Linked DNA regions of Drosophila melanogaster. The protein of the gene in region 1 interacts with the protein of each later gene in a pairwise test. Each region holds a gene or a part of one and is shown in the gene's direction. Other genes may lie near its edges. The genes, in order: phol, unpg, CG4730 and Cph.

Region 1 (6,140 bases):
TCCTGGTCCTCTTTTTGCCTGCAATCCGCGGATCGGAGGACTACCAGCGGCAGCAGAGTTGCAACCTTCAGCGAAAACCTGTTGCTAAAGCCGGCGGCTATAAAACTGCTGTATTTTTGGGCAACATATCGGTTGAATCGAAAGAAGGCTGCGAAATGCCGCGAAAACATTTCGTTTTGTGCTGGGCAGGGAAAAACAAACTGAAAATTTAGTACAATTTTAAGGCCCAGACAACCTGACAACCCAGACCGCCCAGACAGCTGATTGCTGACTTCAGCGGCGTGGCAAGAGGGTTAAAAAAAAAAACGAGTCAGCGCGTTCGTTTTTATAAATATGGATCCTAATAAAGTCCCAATTTCGGAATTTTATTAGTTAGAAGCTGGCGTACGAGATTTAAGAAGCATATTTTATTTTCTGAACCCCATTAAAAAATTTGAGCTACGCCTTTGATCCAAAAGACCTGCATCCCTGGTTTGTTTGCTGCTGAAATTGGCTGCATTCATCAACAAATGGCCCAAGTTCGAGGATCTTGCGAAAGTTTCTGTCCCGATGGGGAGGCGAAAATGTAGGTAAACGAAATTTAAACCCGAATTTAATATAATAACACCGTTTAATACATTCAGGCGTATTCGCGAGAAGCTTTTGCACTATTTCGAGCTAAAAAATGGCCAGAAGAACAAGCCAGGAGTCCTGGTCAAGGAGTTTACACGCTCCGCCGCCGATGTCAAGATGCCCATGCCCAAGGAAATGCGCACAGAAGCGGCATTGACCAAAACAGTGGAATATCTGCTCAAGGAGCAAGTATATTAGGCGCTTAGTTAGCCAAGTTAAATCTGATAATTAATATACTGTGCAGCATAATCCTGGACACACGAAAGCCGTACAATGTGGCTTACGACTTCATATTCGATCGATTGAGGGCGGTGCGTCGGGAGATCGTGATCCAGATGTACGATGCCAGTCAGAAGATTTGCCTGTTAGAGCCCATTGTGATGTTTCTGGCATATAGTCGCTATCGCTTGTGTGAGGAGCCCATCGAGAAGTTCGATCTCAAGATATGCAATCAGCATTTGCAAGAGTGCCTCACGGGAGTGCTTTGCTGTTACGAAGAACTGGAGGACTTGGAATCATCTAGAGAACCCACCGTTCGTGAGCTTGAGCGGCGCTGCTTCATAGAGAGCCTGTATCAATTGTTTAATCTGGGTTCTCCCGAGTCCTTTACACGCGCCCTCACCTTACCGGACTATGTGCGTCGGGATGCGACGTTTAAGCTTTGTTTTGGGATCTGTTTGGCCTTCCAACAGGGCAATTTGTATAGAGTGCTCATGGGTGTGCCACAATTGCCGCATATTCTGTGCGCGGTAGCTGCCGCCAAGTTGCAGGTGATAAGGAGGTACAGTATAACTTTTTCTATTGGATCTCTTATTGACATGATGCATTTTTAATGTAAATACATATGTATGTATGTATATTTGCAGGAGTTTGTTGCAGATTTTCACGCATGCCTACAACAACAAACAGCTTACGGTGCCGGTTCCTTACTTGTTGCGTTTACTGTTGTTCGATGGGCCAACAGGATTGCAGGACCAATGTCGGCATTATAATATATCCTTAACAGCGGATAGGAAGGCGGTGCAATTTAATAAGACTGATTTTAACCACAATGCAGAGGTATTTACACCCCAACACGAGCGCTTTGTGGAGTCGAAGCTGAAGCGTATTTATATTCCAGAAGTTCTATTGCTAAAGAAATTTAACTAGTTATTTATGAGCAACAATTGTAAATAGCTCGAAATAATAGTAAAGCCATGGAGATTAATTTATTGTTATTGCGCATTTGTTTTCTTGTCGGGTGGCAACCCTGGTGGCAGAACAACAAACCTATCGCTTATCGAAAGACAGAACGCCGCGGTATTTACAGCTAATAAATGGTTTGCCAGTTGGAGGTTAATAAAATGCAATTTTTGAATAGTAGTTAAGATTACATTTGTGCTGTTTTGCGAAGTAATGCGAAGAGAATAACCAATCTCCGCTGAATAAACCGCTTAAGATATACACAAAGCGCGCGCAGGGTTGCATTGTGGCGCCTGTCGCTGCACACTACACACACACACACCCCACACACGCAACGCGAGAGAAAGTACCGAGCCGTTTCTGGAAAATACAATTCCGCCATATTAACCGGCAAAATTCAAAATATTTACACTGCCCGAGGTGAGCGGGATCGAGGTGGTCATCCAAAGCGAGAATTAACCCGCCATTGGGCAGCAGGAGAGTGGCGGGCGGAGCGGAGCGAGCGGTACGCATCATTCGCCGTCTGCCGCCGCCGTCGCACAATAAACGATAGGCATTGGCCACAAAAAAGTGGAAAAAGAGGTGGAGGGAAAGGCCAGTTCAGTGCAGCAATACCGACGAAAACACGTACGTTTGTCCACTTTGGAAGTCTGGCGAATATATAGAGATATATACATAATACGGATTTTTGGCCAGATACTAATTGCCCACTTTTTCCGCAGCGCGCTCGCACACACAACACTAACACTCACGCACGAAGCAAGAGCGCCCACAAATACAAGCATACAGATACAGGCACACAGACAGGCAGACGGAGCAGCCGCGATGACAAGTCATCATCATCACGTCGGCGTCGGAGGGAACTTCCAGCCTCAACTGCATCAGATACGAGCGCCCATCGTGAAGAATCTATCGCTGGCCGCTGCGGCGGTACCGTTGCCCCTGCACTCCGCCCCGTCGTCGGCATACTTCACTCATGCACACCAGCCTACGGCGGCTACCATAGTCGAGCAAGATCCGTACACCGTTTTGGCGGGCGATCCGATGGGCGAGGAAAGCGAGAGCTTCCTGATCGAGGAGATCATCGACGACTATGATGATGAGGCTAATATCGTCGTAGACTCAGGCGAATTCTTTGAGCACTATGAATACTATCCGGTGGATCGGCTGGACAGACTTACCTCGGTCACGGTGGCTACGGCAGATGCACTGCCGCCGCCGATCATCATGCAGCAGACCAGCGACGATGAGGAATTCATCGAGGAGGATGGACAGCAGATGACATCCTCCTGCGATGGCGATGGCGATGAGGATGATGAGGCTACCGCGCCGGCTACGACAAATGCCTTCGAGATTGCCTCCGAGATGCTAACCACCATCGAGGCCACAAACATCAAGGAGGAGCAGCTCGAGAGCGACTTCTATATGAAGGCGACCGAGGATTCAAACAGTTCGAATGGCCAGCTGCAGGATTTTAAGCTATTTGGAAGCAGTCGCGTCGAGAGGCCCATGGGAAATTCAGCGGCCAAGCGCTGGAAGCAAACAAAGGTACCCATACGCATAACGCAGGATGAGTTCAATGTCACCCTTTGGTCCTCGCTCAACTCGGAGGATGAGGACGAGGAGGAGGAGTTGGAGGAACCACCTGGTTGTGCTGGCACCACATCCGTGACGTCCTCCTCCGCCGCCCAGAATGAAGGATCACCCAGCATGCCAAAGCTTATTATTGACGAGCACATGATCAACCACGATGTTTTAAGCGATGGCATCGGCAACGAGTACGTCATCCTACCCGATCCATTCAGCGCCTCTGCGGTCACGGATGTGGAGGAGGTGGTTAATGCATTTATGGGCGATGTCAAAGGCGAGGAGGACAGCCAGCCGCTAAGTGAACAGTTGATCTATGCGGAAAACCAGTTGGAAGAAGCTTATGGTAACATCGAGCTTATCGAGAACATGCCGAATAATGTGGAGCTGATACAGACACCGGGACCAGGTCCAGCCACTGTGTCGGTAGCGCTATCGAAGGTCAACGGATGTGTACCGAATCCACAGCCGGCTCTCCCAAAACTAGTGCTCCAGAACAGCAGCACCAATGTGCGACTGAAAAGTGCGGGAAATCAGTCAAAGGTGACAAAGAGGCAACTCACGGCGGCGGCTCAGGTGGCGACACCAAATCCCCCACCGCCACTAGTGGCTTCCAGCAATCCAGCCCGACCCCAACGACCCACAATTGTAACCAAATTACCGACTGCAGTGGCCAATCAGACGGCTGGTAATGCCATGGGAGCAGCTGGCGCGGCCGGCGAAGAGGATGAGGAGCCAAAGTTTCGCTGCACCCATCGCGGCTGCAACAAGGAGTTTCGCAACCACTCGGCCATGCGCAAGCACATGCACACGCACGGACCGCGCGGTCATGTGTGCAACGTCTGCGGCAAGAGCTTTGTAGAGAGCTCCAAGCTAAAGCGCCACCAGCTGGTGCACACCGGCGAGAAGCCCTTTGAGTGCACCTTTGAGGGGTGCGGCAAGCGCTTCTCGCTGGACTTCAATCTGCGCACCCACGTACGGATACACACTGGCGATAGGCCCTACCACTGTCCCATTGATGGCTGCTCCAAGTGCTTCGCCCAGTCAACGAACCTCAAGTCCCACATGCTGACGCACACGAAGCCCAAAAGGAAGTGGCCGCGCGCACCGCAAGTGAGCAACAACAAGACACCGCTGGTGGCCAGATACGGGCGACTGGAGTTTGGCGAGGATCCTCGTCTAGTGTACGTAGAACAGAACGAGGAGGTGGCGTCGGTGCTGCTGGATGGCACGTCCCTAACATCCTAACTAGTAGTGCGCTTTAATGTGTGGCAGGTATTGGCATGAGATGGTTAAAATATTAAAGCTCCTTTGGCTCCGGAAGGCATTATTGTACAGTTAGTTGTAGCCAGTTTTTATCTGTATCTGTAACCTGTAACGAGCGGAGCGGCCGGACAAGATTGTCACCTGGTGAACACATCCGCCCGCTGCCCGCCCTTTAAGTAAGTAGTGTAAGTTCATTCTCTAACAAAATAGGATTGCAGTGCAAAAGGAAGTTAGATGGTAGCCATTAATTAATTTCCTTCACGGATGAAGAGCAGTTCTAAGAGTTTAGCTTGTACCGTAGGCTAAGTGAGTCCCCCCGCAAAACCAAAACTGAACCGTAATCCCCGAAGAACTCAGCCAAACTGTCACCTTAAAAAGCCCCAATTTGATCTGATACTAATCGTGTGCGATCTTCGCTCGAATAACAAAACGCGCACTTTCTTTTCTACGAAAACAAAACAAACAAAAAAATAAGAAAAATACACAAAACTAGTTTTACCATATTCAATACGCATACACCATAGGCTATCTATATATTTTTGTAATGAATTATAACACTTAGAGCATTGAAGTACGGATTTAGCATGTTCAACGTCTGTTGGCGCTAACAATAATTCACAAATGGAAGCACATCAGTTAAGTCGGAATAAACAAGGGAAATACCTCTTCAAAATTAAACAAAAATAAACCAGGAAAACAATGCAACAACACTTGCGTATATCATTTATCATTTCTTTTTTTAACTATTTCACAGTGCGATTGTGTAAGCGTTAGATTTATTAACTGACTTTAAACTTGTAACTACTGCTAGATAACTACATTAAACGGTGAGGCAGCTATTGATGGACAGTCGCCGGGTGTTGTCCACTTCAGATTCGGATCAGCAAGCGATTAGATCGCCTCTTTGGACATGTGTCGCCTACAGCTACGTTCCATTCATTGATTGCGGTGTATAAACGCGTGCGGATTAGATAAAGCATCGCGGCGAGGTACAGATACGCGGCTATTTTGGATATTGGAACGGAGAACAGTACACACGATTGGTCTGGGCATGGTCTGATCGGTATTTTAGGTGACCTTGAGCCCATGTCCTTGAACTCCGGGAATAATATCCGCGATGGAGGCACTTGTTGGGCCAATCAATCCGGCCAGCGAGAGCAGCACGGAGTAGTTGAAGTACCAGAAAACGCAGAAGAGTACCATGAAAATGACGTCTGCAATGAACCGAGAGCAATAATAACCCTGATAAGCGTATAAATTCTCCAGAAGCATGACGAATCCGTCGGATATTCCCAACTAGTTCGAGGGTGTGCTATTTTATTAACAGCAATTAACACTCACGTATCGTTATCCGCTCCCACTTTTCAACCATGTACAGCTCGGTGACCTGCAAGTTAATGGGGTTCATTTAAATCAAAATCCCGTGGAGCGCAGCTTCTCAGGTGGAATATGTGCGTAATTTTATGACCATTACATACCATGAGGTATCGAAA
Region 2 (7,602 bases), on another chromosome or scaffold:
AACCATGCTTGCCCACAAACGAGCATCGACAACTGTAATTTACCTTCGATATTCCAATTAAATTGTGTAAACAATTTGGCATAAGCCAGAGGTCCTTAATTACAGGTCGCGGAAAGGGCCAGGATAGAGGTATGTATGTATGCGCAATAATGGCTAGATGGATGGGGTAGAAGGGGTAAAATGACACAATTACCAACTGCAGTAGGCATCCGCCGGATCCGAAGTATCGCCGCAAATTGAGTGGGGGCGTGTCCAATGTTGGGCAAACATCGGACAGCTCCAGCTATATGACTATATGCTCCGTGTAGCTCCGTGTTCTGCGGTCACGGGAACACATGTTCGCCTTCACATTGCGTCGAATGGCATGAAATTTTAATTTCATTAGTCGAACGATATAATTTAGAGACCGCAGACAGCGAGCAATTCGAGGTACTTAGTTGCAGATACTTTTGTATCTCATTATACGTATGGCTAGAGCTTTAATTGTGTTCGTTTTGTGCAGTGTGCGCATTTCTGTGCATTTCAGGAATATGCCAAAAATTCGCAACGATTTGTCAGTAAATAATTTCGAATTGTTCTCCGTCTGCAGGCAATCAAAAAAATCTAAAAAACGCGCTCGCTCAAACGAAAGAGAGTATCTGTAGAGATGTATCTTTCGCCCTCTGCACATGGCACTGGGATTGGGGACTGCGCATTAAGGATTGGGGTACCACGGACTGGGGTTGGCGAATCCGGGGATGAGGAATGATGATGGTGTCAACAGTGCTCTGATTTATTTGAGCGCATTCAACGCTTCGTTGCAATTCGTTAATTTGCCCGTTTTCCGCCGTCAGAAGAAGGGAAGCTGCCCAGAAATATTTACCCACACTCGGCGGACAGTGTCTATAAGGATCCATCCCCGCCCATCCCTGCTGATTCTTGACAAGCTGCCAAAGTGCCGAACAAAACCCAACAGCTTTCATCATAATCAGAAAACCAAAATTATCAACGAGCCGCATAATTGTATTGTAATTTATGCCGCTGTGGAATCGGTTAAATGTTCGCAATGTTCGGTGCTCGTAAAAGATTTCAAACACCCAAACGTGACCAATGCCAATTTGCGCTCCAATCAATGGACGCCTCGTCACTTATGGCCAAAAATTTGGTCAATTACGATCAATTAAGCCATACACATGCAAATTATTGCCACCTGCTGCGCGAAGAACGATCGGCATATCAATTGTGGGTGCTTCGGGGGAATCGAGGAATCAGGGAACGGATGTGGATTTGTCCACAGCGGATGTAGGAAACAGTAGTCCCATCCATCTGCTTCTTGGGGACGGTGGGGGTCACGACTGCAATGGATTGTTGTCTGTATTTTGTGGATACTATAAACGTACTTTTGTATAACCTATGTATGTATATATACCCTATGTAATAACACTTGTTGGAGGTATTTATGCCTGTTTACCTTTAAAACGAGTTATATAAAATATTTAATTTGGCATATCAGGCCTACAAAAAATCATTGTTAATATTAATCCTTGCAATAAATTAGGGGTCATTAAATTATCAGCGATTGCTACCATCCAAGAAATACGAGTATTCCTTTGAATAATTCTGCCTGTTACGGATGTCACTTTCAATTAAACTCTCTTAAAATCTATATTAGTGCGCTTAAGAACCAACTAAATACCTCAAACACCACCAATTAAAATTAATAGTTGTACAGAGCTGTTTACTGGTATGTTTAGATAATTAAAACCAGATATCCGTAGACTAATAGATATGCACCTAAGTTGCAGATACAAATCGTTGAGCACACTGGAGTGTCTGCTAATGATGCCCAGCAGTCACACCCACTGGCAACTGACATTTGAATTTAAATTGGTCACTAATATGCCTCGCGAGAACACCATCCTCCATCCTCCGTCCTCCGCCGGCGGGAGTACTCCCCAATGGCCAAGGAGCTGGCGAAGATGGGGCATTAATGGCAGGGCGTTCTCTTCGCCAGTCCGGCGATGTCTGATTACCGAGCGATTCGAGCAGAACGCAATTACGGAGCGGGAACGCGGGCGGTGGTGGAGGTGGTAGTGGTGCTGCTCCATTGCCGGAAACTGGTTCGCTGTCCGCACCACCCGGCAATTAGCAGCTGGCCAATGGGAGCGCGCGCCAGACAGAGACACCAGCTGTTTGTCATGCGCCATATTGAAATGGAGGAGGAGCCAGACCATCCGTGGTGGTGGTTGCTCGGCGCCTCTGGGCTTCTGGGCTTCGACTTGGGTGCCGTACGCGTACGTGATGTCTGCTGCACTTGGACAGTCGCTCGCAGATCTCTGAACGGTTCACTGCGTCGTGTCTGCTCGGGAACAGAAACGCGTTGAGAAATTAGAAGAAAGAAGTTAGTTTCGATCGCCCTGAAAGTGTGCTTTTGAGTGGGCAATATGGAACGACCGGCCTTGCTGCAAAACGGAGAGATCGGCACCATGGAATCGCCCACTACCAGGCTGGCCAGCAAGCCCTTTCCCAAGCCCTTCTCGATCGAGAGTCTGATCGCCAACCAAACGCCTGCCACTGCCACACCACCATCGCCGCCCGAGGAGCGGGACCAGGAGCAGGAGGCAGAGCAGGAGCAGGAGCTGAGTGCCCGCGCCATGGTAGCCAGTTCGGCCCTGGGACTCACCCAGTTTCCGCTTTATAATCCCTGGCTGCACGGCTACTTCGCTCAGAATCACGAGAGATTAACGCATTTAATTGCCGGCGGCTGCTACCTGCCCTCCAGTCCAGCTGGTCATCCTGCTGCACAGCAACCACAGGCACAGGCACAGCCACAACCACCACCACCACATCCACCAACACATGCCTTGGAGAAACAGCTTCCACCCACCTTGCCGCATCCGCTGGATACGCGTTTCCTGCCCTTCAATCCCGCCGCCGCCGGAGTTGCGCCCACGGATCTCAGCTACCGGCGATTGGCCGAGCTTATGAACCAGGACTACGTGCACAGTCTGAGTGTCCACGCTCGACTGCAGCACATGGCCGCCGCCGGCAGGATGCACGAGGATCAAGCGAATCCCGGCATGGCGCAGCTCCAGGAGCCGACGCCCCCACAGGCCCACTCCTCGCCAGCCAAGTCCGGCAGCCACAGTCCCATGGAACCGGCCCTGGATGTGGGCATGGACGAGGACTTCGAGTGCAGCGGCGACTCCTGCAGTGACATTAGCCTGACCATGTCGCCCAGGAACTACAACGGCGAGATGGACAAGAGCCGCAATGGAGGTGGGTACCATGCAATCAATCTTTCAGGGATGTGGTTATACTAATGAGATGTTTGGGGAATTCGATATAGTTCTTGGTTGATCTTTATCTTAGAACTTGTCGGCAATTGTTTTAAGATTTACGGATACATTTTGCAGCCATTTTAGCCATGGTTACAACTATTAAGTCCTTTATACTATAAAGTTTATAGTTTGCAGAAGACACAATAGTAATAGTTAGCATTTTTGCATAAATATAAAGCTATTGTTTAATGCATATCGTTAAATTTTGCTCAACTTATTAAGATATCACTAAATAGCTCATCACTTTGAAAAGAGTGTATGTTTTTCAAATACTTGCTAAACTTTTATTCGTTTGCTTTGGTGATTAGTAATTACACCGACTAAAATTTGTTGGGCATCGAATTTCTTACGTTAGTTTTAATTATCACTTTACGTTAGTTTTAATTATCAATTAATAATTACCAATTAAGGGTTAAGGAAATAAATTGCGGTACAAATTGGCCAATTGGTTAGACGTTCGACAATCCTTAGGATTTATCTAAATAATATGATATTAAAATATTTATATACACTTTTTATGATGGCTAACATTCGTTGTTGCGTTTAAAAAGTATGTTTTAATATTATTTAGAGCGATATGCAAATGTAGTCCTGTTGTGTTCCTCATTCTTCTTAAATGCGTTCAGCGAAATGAGAAACTCTTTAAAATCAAAAGCAAATACAAATATTTCTTGAGCTTAGTACTCATAATTTACCCCTTCGAATCGTGTCCAGTTTTGCGGTGGCTCATTTTGTCGAGCGGCGTTGTCACGGTAATTTAAATTGAGCCTGCCACGTCATAATCAAATTAGCATAGAGTGCATTAAGACCCAGTGTTCGGTGTCAATCACGGAGTGAAAAGTTTTCACAACTCCGACTTCGGGATCCAGAAACGCCACTCGTCGTCCCGTCGACCACAAAGCCACAAAGCGGAGTGACTGGAAACGGAATGCTGACGTTTTGACAATCGTAGCGATTTGGCGATTTGGACACTCGAATGGAATGGCACTGCGTTCTCCCATCAACGTAATCATCCGGATCCCCCGCTGCCTGTCTGGAAACTGGAAACTGAGCCATCCGTGCCGCAATCAATTTGCCAGCGAAGCAGCAAAGAGCGCAACAAATTTGCGACTAATATATTCATAACTGAGCGCAAGTGGGCGCAAATGGTGTGCTTTGTGGGTGGGGGTGGCTGACATGGGGGTGGCTATGTGGGTGACTGGCGACAGGGTGGCAGGCGTCCAAATGGGCAGATAAATCAGTGACAGCGGGCACTTTTGAAGCGTGTAAGTGTTAAAAACCGCTTAACCATGTACTCAAAATTAAGAGAAGTGGAAGCTGGAGTGGGAGCTGTAGCGGAATTGGGAGGACTCATCGGGCACTTGGCACTTGACACTTGGCTGGCACGCTCAACTTGAGTCCACCCAAAACAAGCAGATTATGTTTCGAGCATTCCATGCCTTCTGCATGAAGGGCAGCCTTCAGACACATGTATCCAGTTATAAATAAATATGTTTGCCACAATTTGTGGCACGGGCCATTTGCACCAGAAGTCCGAACTCGTTAGGGCCCCATTAATGGGGCTGCTCCAAGCGACTTGTCTTGAGTCCGGACAGAATCAGCCAGGATGTGGGCTGGACCGAGGCGGCATTGCTCGGCACAATGTGTTAGAGTGACTCTGAACGATGGGATTGCACTCAACCGAAGATGTATCTCAGTATCTCAGGAAAGATACAATACAAAAGGGAATGGAATTTGGAAAAATAACAATATAATCCAAAGAAAAAGTGAAGTCAGTGTTTGGTCTTAACTTAAACTCTTGATACACTTTAAGTTTAGTTAAGTCCATTTCAAAGTTCGATTTTCTTAAATGGATCCGTTCAAAATGTAGTTAAATGTATATCTCTTGTTATTTATTCGGAATAAAATTCATATTTTAATGGCTTGCACATTGAGGAATGTGAACCGCTTTTGGGATAAATTTCAAGGCCAAAACCCATCAAATTTGAAATGAATAGCCATTTTTCAGGTGTCTACTATGTACTATACATACTACTATACATATTACTAATATGTTGTTCAATTTGTGCGTATAAACCTAACAATTTGCGTTTTTACAAAGTTATGTCCTCTTTGAACTTTCAAAACGAAATTTCAACTTTAAATAGAGTTTAAACAAATTGTTGAAATTTGTTAAGTAATTGTGTGAGTCTATGTTGTAAAGTGATTAATTCCCTATTTGGAGCATATAGGGTTAATTTGCGACTTTTCGCGAAAATTAAATTTTTAGCGCGCAATTCGTTGTTTGTGAAAACGTTTGGGGTGAACATAGTGAAAGTGGTTGCGTCTAACTTATCTTTTTCCTGCTCAAAATACTATTACTGCTGATAGGTAATATATGCTGTTTATTTAAACAATAGGGTTGATTGCAGATAAATAAACAAGCATAAAGTATAGGTTGAAACATATAATCTTAAGAGATTGGATGATTTTGATTTGATCCCTTTGATTTTTGTTGTTCAAGGTTATAGTACTTGGGCTTAGTACTTAGTACTACTTACTACTTAGTACTACTACTTGAATATTTAAACATTTTTAACAAATATTGTAAACCATTAACAAATTATATTGAGATCACGGTAATTTCATAAGACAAAGGTGAAGTGGGGTAGGAATGCTTGTGGATTAGATGTAACGATCCTTGTAATACCGTGTGATGCCAAAAGTAGATCGCTTTCTTATACTCATGTCTTGCAGATGAGTTGTAGTTTGGGAATACCTATATATTTTATGGATAATTGCTGATTGTGATTCTTCTTGTTCATTCATTGCCTTTTTGACATAAACTCATGCCATATCTCCTACTGTTTCAGCCTATACCAATTCGGATAGCGAGGATTGCAGCGATGATGAAGGCGCTCAGTCCCGGCACGAAGGCGGTGGAATGGGCGGCAAGGACTCGCAGGGGAATGGCTCCAGCTCAAACTCCAAGTCCCGTCGCCGGCGCACAGCCTTCACTTCGGAGCAGCTGCTGGAACTCGAGCGGGAGTTCCACGCCAAGAAGTATCTCAGTCTCACGGAGCGCAGTCAAATAGCCACCAGTCTAAAGTTAAGCGAAGTTCAGGTAGGTTTAGTTGTTAAATGAAAGGAAAACACCCGAAGCTGATGATAATCCGTTTGAAATAGGTTAAAATATGGTTCCAAAATCGACGCGCCAAGTGGAAAAGGGTTAAGGCTGGACTCACCTCGCACGGACTGGGTCGCAACGGGACCACTAGTGGCACCAAGATCGTGGTGCCCATTCCCGTGCACGTGAACCGCTTCGCCGTCCGGTCGCAGCACCAGCAGCTGGAGAAGATGTGCCTCAGCGGACCGAAGCCGGATCTGCGCAAGAAGCTCTCGGCGGAGGCGATCGGAGGCTTCGAGAAGTTCAGCGGTTCCACCAACGCCTCATCGCCATCCGGAGGACCAGTGGGATTGGGCGTGGGCGTGGGCGTTGGCGTGGGAGTCGGCCTGGGGGTATCCACGCCCCTCTCCCTCGCCAGGAGCATCTATTGATGGAGTTGGGCTCCTGAAGCGTTCAAGTGTACATACCTATGGAGGCAGTTCGTCTGCAAGCCGAGTTTTCTTTATGTAAATAAACAAACGAAAAATCAAATTCAAGTCGAATTGTATTACTTTAACCATTTAGTGGATTTCTAGCAGATCTGAGTACCCATATAGACATACATATATGTGATGTATGCTTTGTGCCACTGACCACCACATGATGGCACATAAATCCTGGCGGCCCAGAAACACGCCCATCCAGGAGCCGGAAGTCGAGGCCACTCCAGGCAACCGGGGCACAAATCTCGCCTCGATGTCAATTGGAACAATTAAACTGCCAATTTGTGCGATTTAGCACGGCCCAAAGTGGCCGTTTGGAGTCGAGTCTAGTCGAGTGTCGGAAAATCGAGCGTTGCATTCACTTCGAGTTCGGGTCGTCTTATCTGTGACTAATTTTTCCAATTTAACGCACCAAATTGTCACGAAATGAGCGTCAGGATACAGGATCGCCGAGTGTCCTGCGAGCGAAAGAGAGGGTAGACGACGGGAACAGCAATCACTCCAGGTGTTTCACGTGTCACGCCTCCTTTTTGGGCTGACTGGCATCCCGGGCGCCGGGCGCAGGACTCTTCCCTCGTGACTTATTAGCATTAGCAGCTCCCTCTGCTTTGTGTGAGTTTTTAATTGCATTAGCGACTTATTGGCTGCCTCCCGACTCTCTTGTTTATTGCAACTCCCCTGTAACTCGCCCCTC
Region 3 (4,157 bases), on another chromosome or scaffold:
CATGGCAGCGGAATTGGGTCTGGAATCGGCCGCGGGGTCCGTGGCAATCAAAATGCAAGAGCCGGTCAATAAATTAAAATTTTTCCATGCACTTGTTGTAAGTAGATGAAAATTAAATGAAAAGTTAGTTCTTAAATAATTAGTTTTAGGCAGGAGGAGTGGCTGGAATGGTAGTGGACATAGCGCTGTTTCCCATAGATACAGTGAAGACCCGACTGCAAAGCGAGCTGGGCTTTTGGCGGGCAGGAGGATTCAGGGGCATCTACAAAGGACTCGCTCCTGCGGCTGCAGGAAGTGCTCCCACGGCGGCCCTGTTTTTCTGCACCTACGAGTGCGGAAAGCAGTTCCTTAGTTCGGTCACCCAAACCAAAGATTCACCCTATGTTCACATGGCAGCGGCTTCAGCAGCAGAAGTGGTAGGATTTCATATAAAACTGAGCACCTCGTATTTAGATCTGAAGAATCTCTGTATCCAATAGTTGGCATGCTTGATCCGAGTTCCCGTGGAGATTGCCAAGCAACGCTCCCAAACATTGCAGGGCAACAAACAGTCCGGCCTGCAAATTCTACTGCGTGCCTATCGCACTGAGGGATTGAAACGTGGTCTGTACAGGGGATTTGGTTCCACTATCATGCGGGAGATTCCATTTAGTCTGATACAGTTTCCGCTCTGGGAGTACTTTAAGCTGCAATGGACTCCCCTGACCGGCTTCGATTCCACTCCTTTTTCGGTGGCTCTTTGTGGAGCTGTCGCTGGAGGCATTTCAGCGGGATTAACTACGCCGCTCGATGTGGTCAAAACCCGAATTATGCTGGCTGAAAGGGAGAGTCTCAACCGACGTCGCAGTGCCCGAAGAATTTTGCATGGCATTTACCTGGAGCGAGGCTTCAGCGGGTAATTATTTCCATATTAGACGCAACTCAAGCTGGTCCTAATATTTAAACACAAATTAACTTTACAAAACTATTTATTACATTTATTAATGTACTTCGATGTTACTTTTCAGTCTGTTTGCTGGCTTTGTGCCGCGTGTGCTGTGGATCACACTGGGCGGTGCATTCTTCTTTGGCTTCTACGACCTGACGACGCGAATCCTTGGCGCCACCAGTACGGATCATTAAAATTAGGGTTATTTTCGTTGTACTTGTAGTAGAGGCACGTAGTTTGCAGTAGTAACTAAACCGATGACAACCACCGTTTGAAGACAACGTGGACAATAAAGTGTATGGAAGACTTTTGAGATTCACTAGGCATTGGAGGCGTTATTCGCTCCCTGTGGAAGAAAAAGGGCTGTGATTGTATTGGGACATTGTCACGAGCTCACTGACATCCTGAATGTGGAGGCGACCAGTGAGGAGAGTAGCAGTAGTCCTTTGATCTCCCAGTTCATCTCCGCAGTCCATGGGCACATCGGAATCCTCCTCATCCACATTGATGTATCCACTTCGCGGAGCCTTCCTGCTCTTTAGGCAATCCCAGGAATTCCGACAGCGACTACGTGACATGGCGTAGACCTGTGTACACCCAAATGCATAAATTAAACAAATGTACATCCACTTAAACAAACAGACTGTGGCGATAACGCACCAGTGCAGCCAGAACGAAAATGCCAACGAGCACGGAAATTGGCAGCCATATGTATTGACCGTCGTCCGGATGCAGTATGTCCGGTTCAGGACTAATGGTCGTCTGAGGCTCAAGTAACTTCATCGTTTTCAGGGGATGTACAAAGAAATCACAACAACTACGAAGCAAAAAGTTCTCAAAAATTTCAGCGCTCCCAAGTGCTGCCAGACCTCTCGTGAAATAGGTGGCAACCCTAGCACAGCTATGTTTAGTTTTTCTTCACATTTATGGCTAAGAGCGGGGATTTTCAACTGTAAACAAAGAAGTATTTATTAGGTAATCTGAGTAATCTTTTCAATTTGATCAAAATAAGCTTTGCACAGATGGATCCCCAAACATCAAAAGTATGCCAAACGCTTAATTTTACAATAGCAAGGCGAACTGCAGAAGCTCCCGTGAAGCTTGTATCCCATGAAGTCTCACTTTCAGACAGTACTACTTCTTTGGAGCTGAGCAATTGCTGCCGCTTGTGTTTGGAGGAGCCGTATCCCAACCAAATGCTGGACATGACCGTCATCTATGACCAGGAGGCGGCGCTGAGTTACTACGACTGCTACGAGATCTGCACCAAGGAAGACCTGCGGCAAAATCCCAAAAACGAGCCACGAACCTTGTGCAAACGTTGTGCGGTGGAACTGAAATGGGCCTACGACTTCCACAAGAAAATGGCCATTGCCAATCAGCAGTTGAGGGAGATATTTGTGGCAACCGAAGCCAACACGGAACAGGAAGACGACGTGGAGGATGAGGAGAATGAGGCGGATATGAATGAAGAGTTCCTGATGGAAGAGATTGAGGAGAAGCAGGAAACCCCTATCGACAGCTTAGAGGACATTGTGCCACGCAATCGGCATACGGGAAAATCCAACTGCAAGTTCTGCCACAAGGAGTTCAGGAACCATTCCCGCATGGCCAAGCACCAGATGATTCATTTGGCCAATCGTCCCAACTTTCGTTGCAGCCAGTGCGACCGGGTTTACCTCACAAAGCAGGCGCTGAAAGTTCACGTCGATTCGAAGCACAGGCAGTCTGGAGTCCACTGCGACACATGCGGCAAGGTTTTTGCCATTGCCAAAGCCCTGGAGATTCATAAACGCTATCATAACAGAGACTTTCCCTATTCCTGTGATCTCTGTGATCGTCGTTTCGCACAGCGATCCCATTTGACTGTCCACCAGCAGGTTAAGCACTCTGGATCTCGCTTCATTTGCGAGTTTCCCGGCTGCCAGAAGTCCTTTACCTCATCTTCATCTCTCAGGAATCACGAGTGCACGCATACGGCCATGCCATTTGAGTGCGCCCACTGCCATCAGAGCTATCCAGCTCGTAACAAGTTAGTTATTTTGTTTAAAGTGTACATTATTTGAAAGTAACACTCCTTAATAATTTTTTAGACTACGCATGCACCTGGAGCGTAAGCATAACATGGTGGTGCAGATGGAGGACCTGGAGGAAATGCGAAAGTTTCACATCGTGCGCTCCAAGTTGGTAATGGCAAAGATTTACTCGGACCAGAAAGAATCACACCATGCCAAAAATGATAGCGCTGCTATTTCTAAATAAAAAGTATTTAAAACTATTACCAAAACTTAGATAATAGCTTAATCTTACACTAACTCGCATCCCATTTTAAATTCCGTAAAATTGCCTTACAAATATCACATTCAATTTATTTCACACTTTCATTTGGTTATCTTACACGGACAGGGATAGATATTCACATACATATATAGATTTTCGATATCATAGACAAAATAAATGCTGCTAAATCTGGTGGTATACAAGTTCGATCTGCGCCACAAGAATCCTTCAGTTCGACAGCGTTAGGACCTAATGGCATCTCATCGCGGCTTTGGCAAAGATCGTGAAGTCATCCGGATGCTGAGAGGATCCAGTTGCCGTGCCCGTCGTTGTGGTGGCCACATTTCCATTGCCAGCCTCCGCTCGCTTTCTAGAAGTTATCTTCTTCCAGCCGCGAAGGAAGATTTGATTTCGGTACTTGGGCGTGGTGAAGGTGTACAAGAGAGGATTAACCGCCGAGTTAAGTGGCAGCACAAAGACCACCAACCAGGCGTAGATGTCATCGGAGATATTGTAGTTGAAAAAAACCCAGATCTTCATAACGATGATGGGCACCCAGCACAGGAAGTCGGTCAGCACGATGAAAAAGAATCGCACAGCGAATTCGCAATCCAACAGAGTGAGCGGAGTGGCGCTCCTCGTTCGCCATATCGAAATAAGGAGTGCCGTGTAGAGCATCGCAATCATCACCAGCAGCAGCAGATTGACGCCCAGGAACACGAAAGCCGAGTAAAGCCAGCCCATCGGGAAGGCCTCGTGGATGTGCAATGGAAAGCCTGTTAAGTTTAATTTCGTCACTTGGTAAACTACATTTTATCATAAACATTGTGCTCACAGGTTCCGGAATAGGATCCGTAGTAGGGTAGGGTACTGGTCCGCCACAGGAGCACCGGTGCCACAGCCAAGCCCACGCCCGTAATCCAAATGCAAATCAAAGCCAGCCACATCA
Region 4 (5,233 bases), on another chromosome or scaffold:
AACAGAACGGTTGGGAAAAAAAAATCACACTACCCCGGGACAAAGGAAATCGAAAGAAACACAAAAGGAAACTTTGAGGAAAGCAGGCGGCGATCGGTAAAAATTGCATAAAAAATAATTGCAAGGCGACAGGACGCGGGCTGGATGTCCTGTGCCTGGATGTCCTCCCCTCCGCCCCTTTTGCGTTTGATTAAAGCGCACAAAGGACAGGGACCAGTTTTTTTTTTTTGTTGTTTTGCCTTCTTCTTAGCGTTCCAGGACATTAGCAGCATCCTTTTACAAGGCAGCTCGCATCTGCGCAAGCGCCGCCGCGTCTTAGTCCTGCCGAGGGGTAAATCAAAAGCGCGCGCAAAAAAACCAGGGTTCGTTATGCCCGTGGTATGGTTTAGTAAAAAACATAAAAAAAAACAAAAAACAACACACATGAGGAACAAAAAAATTCGTTTACCCTCGTGACAATGGGAAAGGATTAACCAACGAGGCAGAAGAAGAGAATCTTAGAGAATGTTACGCATCCGCCTGTCCATCTCCATCTCCATCTTCATCTCCTTCCCCGAATCCCGTCTATTATTAGATATATGTATTCAGGGGGAAGGGGGGTTCTGAGATCGGGGCTGGTCGCCACACTTATTGCGCAGCTTCCGCGATCTGAACTCCAGAGAGAACTGCGCACATCCCATGCTGGGATAAACGATGCCGAGATTTGGAGAAAGAGAGAGAGAGAGAGAGAGAGAGAGAGAGAGTTCAAGGAACTCCGACGTTTCCAGGATCTGTGGAGCATTGTCTCCATAAATAGCTCACTCAACTAAAACGGAACTCGAGCATTCCCCTTGCTACACCAATGTCCCTCCTGCTTTATGAACGAACTAAATCTGATCCCCTTGCTAAACTCGATATCCAAGAACTAGAAACTATCTAAAACTAACAACTTCATAGTATGGTATTACAGAACTCTATATGCCCACTAAACTAATTTCAAACACTTCGTACTGATTTTAACAGCGGACGAGTATCTTAATCAAGAATAGCCAATAAGAAGTAATTATTCTTTCGAGATACGAAAATTATTTCTAGGCTTGACTTCAAAATAACAAACCTAATCCATATCTTTGGCTTGTCATAACCTTTTATGACCTCTACGGACTAGGATATTATTGCATTTATTCATTTAATTAGCCTAAAGAATTACTTTTTCGAATTCGAACATAATTGGTAGATTTTCAGAAAAGTAATATGAATATACAAAAAATTTCCTGGTGTTTTTGAAAGAGTGTTTAGTTAAGCCTAAAATACTTCAACTTTTATCAATATGTTATAATTGAACTTTAAATTATGATTTTATTGTGGCACTTCTAAGGCCTATCTTTAGTTAGGATCCCAAGTGCGACCCTGTCATTGGTCAGTTATTCGCTGCCCGACAACCCGTTCGCTCTATCAACACCCTTACTGCTGCTCCCCCTGTTCCAATCTTTATGCTCATGACATAGTTATAGTTACACTCCCTCGCCGGCGTTTTAACCCTCTGCTGTGCGTAACAGCTCAATTTGGGCAGCGATTAGCGGCGGACAGTCGATAGTTTTCCTTTATCCATGTGAGTAGACAGATTTTTCCTTTAGAAGGTATGGGGGGGGGGGGGTTACGGGGGAGCAGTCGTAGTCGCCGTCGCTGCCTCGGTCGGCGTAGACGCTGGCATCAACGGACAGTAGTCGTCCAGAGATGAATTCATCCCCCTATTTCCCATATATTTTGCCTTTGGTCCACTCGCAACTCGAACATGTGCGAGGGAGAGGTACAGAGGGCATGAGTGAGAGAGGGAGAGAGGGAGACGGGCCAGCAACCCCTGCACGCGCGTGTGTGTGTGTAGTGGTGACTACACACGTTTTTTTTCCTATATGGTTTTTTTTTTTTAGCCCCGACCCTCGAGGGTCAAAGGGAATGAAGAGCGGTGTGTGTGCGCTGTGTGTGAGTAAAAAACGCTGTCTCTGCCGACGTCGACGGCGACGGCACAGCCTCAGCGGCAGGATTGAACGTTCGACGACCGTCGACCCTCGAGCGTCCCAGGAAGCCAACTAGTTGTCAGTCCACGTGAAGCCTCCGAGGGGTCAACAACACACTGCTCACGACCTCAAATCAGATTTAGATCCTTCGGCCGACAAACACGTCGATTTACGAAACATTAACTCGCATTCCCCACAATCACTCGAAACGGTTTAACCGATACGCAACCGATACGCAGCCGTTACCGTTACTGTGTTACCGCTTCGTGTCTTGTGAAAGTGCTCATCAAATATAAGAAAAACACAAGAAAAACCAAACATTCTAGGACAACCACACGCAGGACAATTGGATTACCTACGATCGTGTGTGTCTGTCACTACAATCTTTTTGTGCCTTTCACTTTTTTTTTCAATGCCAAAACTATTTTTTTTAAACCAAAAACCACAAAAACAACAATAACTTGTGATGTGTTAAAAGTTTGAAACGTAAAACAAAACAAGATAAAAAACAAAACACAAGACACCACAATATTTTTTTTTTTATACAAAAATCAAGATGTACAACAAAATGCTGTCGATCAGTGAGGATCATGGATTCCGTTCGCTGAGCCGTAAGTTTAAAATTAAAAACAGTAAAAGCTCATTAGTTTAATTTGTGGTATGCCTTGAGTGACCGAACCCTAAAATCGTTGTTATATCATAATCAAGAGCACCCAAAATATTTCCCCAATAAGCAATTGCCCAGAGGCGTGTATCTTGGACGGAGATAACCGCAGCATTTCTTGGAACTTCTCAGAAATTCCTATAACAGCTCTTCCTGTTCTGTTCAGTTTTGCTGCGGTACTTCTTTTTACCATGGTGTTCATGGGTGTCTCTTTAATCATTTGCCGTTGTCGCTCTATGTTGTCCCCCAAATAGATACAAAACAACAAAAAAAAAATAACAACAAAAACCGGGCAAATGTGCGGACAATTTTTGATAAGCGCGCTGTACTGGGAAGAACAACCAGAACAACAATAAGCCAACGCCCGCACCCACACCAGCACACACACCCAGCGGTGTATAGTGTGGGTAAAGAGGGGGCAACCTACTTACCTACCTATATGGATCGCAGCTATATTTACATATGTCCGTCGTGACTGTCGTTGACTTTCGGGAAATAAAACAAACTTCTCTATATCGCCTCTCTGCACCTTGCTCACAATACAAATACAAATATTTTAGCGACAAAAAACGAAAAAAAAAACCGAGCAGGGTAAAAAACAACGACCTGAAAATGAAAAGTAAAACTTACAAGCCACACATATGTCTTATCAAAAGAAGTGAGCAGAGAGCAACAATGGGAACATTTCATTGGCTCTAAGCAAATAGAGCGGGTCTTTTGCCATCGGTCCACCTCAAACTTACATTTCGATTACAAACGGATGTTCAAACAACGCACGACTTCAAAAGACCAATTGGATTTTAGCTAACCGGAAGTACAGTTGCACTTAATCGCTTCTTAGATTCTTAGAATAAAACTAGATAACCTACTCAAACCTGGAATAGTTGAAAGGAAATGAGCTATATTTATAATATATCAATAATACCTTATCTAGTTTGTTAATGTGTGGCATTAACTAGGCTTTAGTTTCCCATAAATAAAAAAAAAATTCAAAGCAAAAACATGAGAAGCTGTTTAAATTTAAACATACTAACTATCATACATTTAAGTTTTCACCTGGCTATATTTAAATATTAATTGCTATATATTTGTATTGCACTTTCGGTTGAATGCTCTTTTATTATTTAATGTTGTTGTGCCCATACCTTGTGCCCATTTCCTTTGGCTTATCAGTCGCCATGTGTGTCCAGCTTTAACACACAGACAGACGCACACGTGGACTATATGTTAATGCCCGATTCCAGGCCGCGACCATATTTGCATATGGCTCATTCACTCAACCTGGCGGGGTAACTGTGGGCTCGTACCGTCCGTTTGTCCGTCCGTCTACGGGTCTGCGGTCTCCGGTTTTACGGTCGGGGTTCCATTCGTTTGCTCATTTGTTTGTCCAGATATCCAGTCGCTTACCTTGCCGCCATATGCGGGTGTTATCAGCAGTCAGCGCTAGCTTTTGGCTAACCGCTTCTTCTCCTCGTTTTTATTTATTTTTTTTTTTTTACCCCAAAACCCCGTGAACCCCGCGAGCCACCATGAAAACGAGCTCTATTGGGGGACAGTAGGCAAATAAAACCAAATTTTGTATGCTAAAACACTTTGCGAAGGCGACCGGTGTGATAAGGCTTCGGGGCTTCGATACTCGTATTTGTTGCGCCCCCGCACAACAGAAATCATTGTAATTTCAGGCGGTACCATATATATGTACATATATAATATAAAACACTATGTGCATGTGTACGATATATCGCGCTCTGTTTGTTATAGTTTCAGCTGCTAAACACCTTTCCACGTATCCGTATCGCTATGTTATCCACACATAATTTGTTTAAACAAATTAAGTCCGGGGGCCGCTCCGACTCCAGTTGATTTTCAGTTTTTCAGCTGCTGACGTCGCTTTGTCACTGTCAGCCAAAAAAAAAAAAAAATAAATAAAATAAAAGAAAAATTCAACCGCCTGTTGGACACAACACTTACATATTTATATATATACTTACTACCACTACGCCCACGCCGACTGTTATCGCCTGCCACAGAATTTTGAATTTGTTTAACCCTTTTTTGTTGTTAAACTTTTAAATGAGTTGGCCAAAAAACAATACAACAAGTCGAAATAACAAAAAAAAAAAAAAGAGCGTTGTCTTTAAATATTTACTCAGCATTTTCGGGGCGTTCGTTATTATTATTTCTACTCTGTTTTTTTATTTAACAACCCGTCAACGAAGTGGAGCACTTGGATAACCATTCAGCTGTCTTTAGTTTTCGATTTTGCAGCATTGAAGGCAAAGTGATTGCAAATGAATGGTGATACATATACATACTGTCTTTTTCCTTGCCATATTCTCTACTTTAATATTAATAACAACTGTGATTGCTTAAAGAGGCGCAAGTTTCGCTGTCTTCCACCATTTTGCCCACAGATAGGATAGTTGGTCCAGTTTTTCGTGGCTGACGCCATTTTTCATCGGGGTCCTGTGTCCTTCGTCCTGCGTCCTACGAAAGCGAGCACCTAAAAACAGCCGACGACGAGGACGACCGTGTGGCGCTCTCTGCCTGGTTTTTATGGCATCCCCACAGA

The links.
Region 2: the proteins of phol (region 1) and unpg interact in a two-hybrid assay, tested with the Drosophila melanogaster proteins (one large-scale study listed by BioGRID).
Region 3: the proteins of phol (region 1) and CG4730 interact in a two-hybrid assay, tested with the Drosophila melanogaster proteins (one large-scale study listed by BioGRID).
Region 4: the proteins of phol (region 1) and Cph interact in a two-hybrid assay, tested with the Drosophila melanogaster proteins (one large-scale study listed by BioGRID).

Annotation. Positions count from the first base shown.
Region 1 is NT_037436.4:9,452,019-9,458,158, reverse strand, and holds phol (pleiohomeotic like), read left to right. Parts: upstream 1-1,877; 5' UTR 1,878-2,421; intron 2,422-2,516; 5' UTR 2,517-2,619; coding exon 2,620-4,629; 3' UTR 4,630-5,356; downstream 5,357-6,140. Other genes in the region: CG3552 (uncharacterized protein), read right to left, coding at 1-170; CG3437 (uncharacterized protein), read left to right, coding at 510-565, 624-797, 857-1,393, 1,479-1,761; ghi (ghiberti), read right to left, coding at 5,716-5,861, 5,989-6,034, 6,126-6,140.
Region 2 is NT_033778.4:9,192,911-9,200,512, forward strand, and holds unpg (unplugged), read left to right. Parts: upstream 1-2,294; 5' UTR 2,295-2,423; coding exon 2,424-3,258; intron 3,259-6,172; coding exon 6,173-6,423; intron 6,424-6,485; coding exon 6,486-6,857; 3' UTR 6,858-6,960; downstream 6,961-7,602. UniProt on the Drosophila melanogaster protein: Plays a regulatory role in neural branching of the tracheae: segment-specific aspects of these neural branching patterns appear to be generated by homeotic regulation of expression. May have a role with oc/otd in the postembryonic development of the brain.
Region 3 is NT_033777.3:25,676,331-25,680,487, reverse strand, and holds CG4730 (uncharacterized protein), read left to right. Parts: upstream 1-1,805; 5' UTR 1,806-1,892; exon of another isoform or gene 1,893-1,903; intron 1,904-1,940; exon of another isoform or gene 1,941-1,950; coding exon 1,951-2,960; intron 2,961-3,021; coding exon 3,022-3,190; 3' UTR 3,191-3,416; downstream 3,417-4,157. Other genes in the region: CG4743 (uncharacterized protein), read left to right, coding at 2-97, 150-416, 480-895, 1,008-1,122; CG5039 (uncharacterized protein), read right to left, coding at 1,248-1,274, 1,330-1,515, 1,589-1,711; Lgr3 (Leucine-rich repeat-containing G protein-coupled receptor 3), read right to left, coding at 3,458-3,984, 4,044-4,157.
Region 4 is NC_004354.4:7,224,379-7,229,611, forward strand, and holds the start of Cph (chronophage), read left to right. Parts: upstream 1-2,076; 5' UTR 2,077-2,553; coding exon 2,554-2,608; intron 2,609-5,233.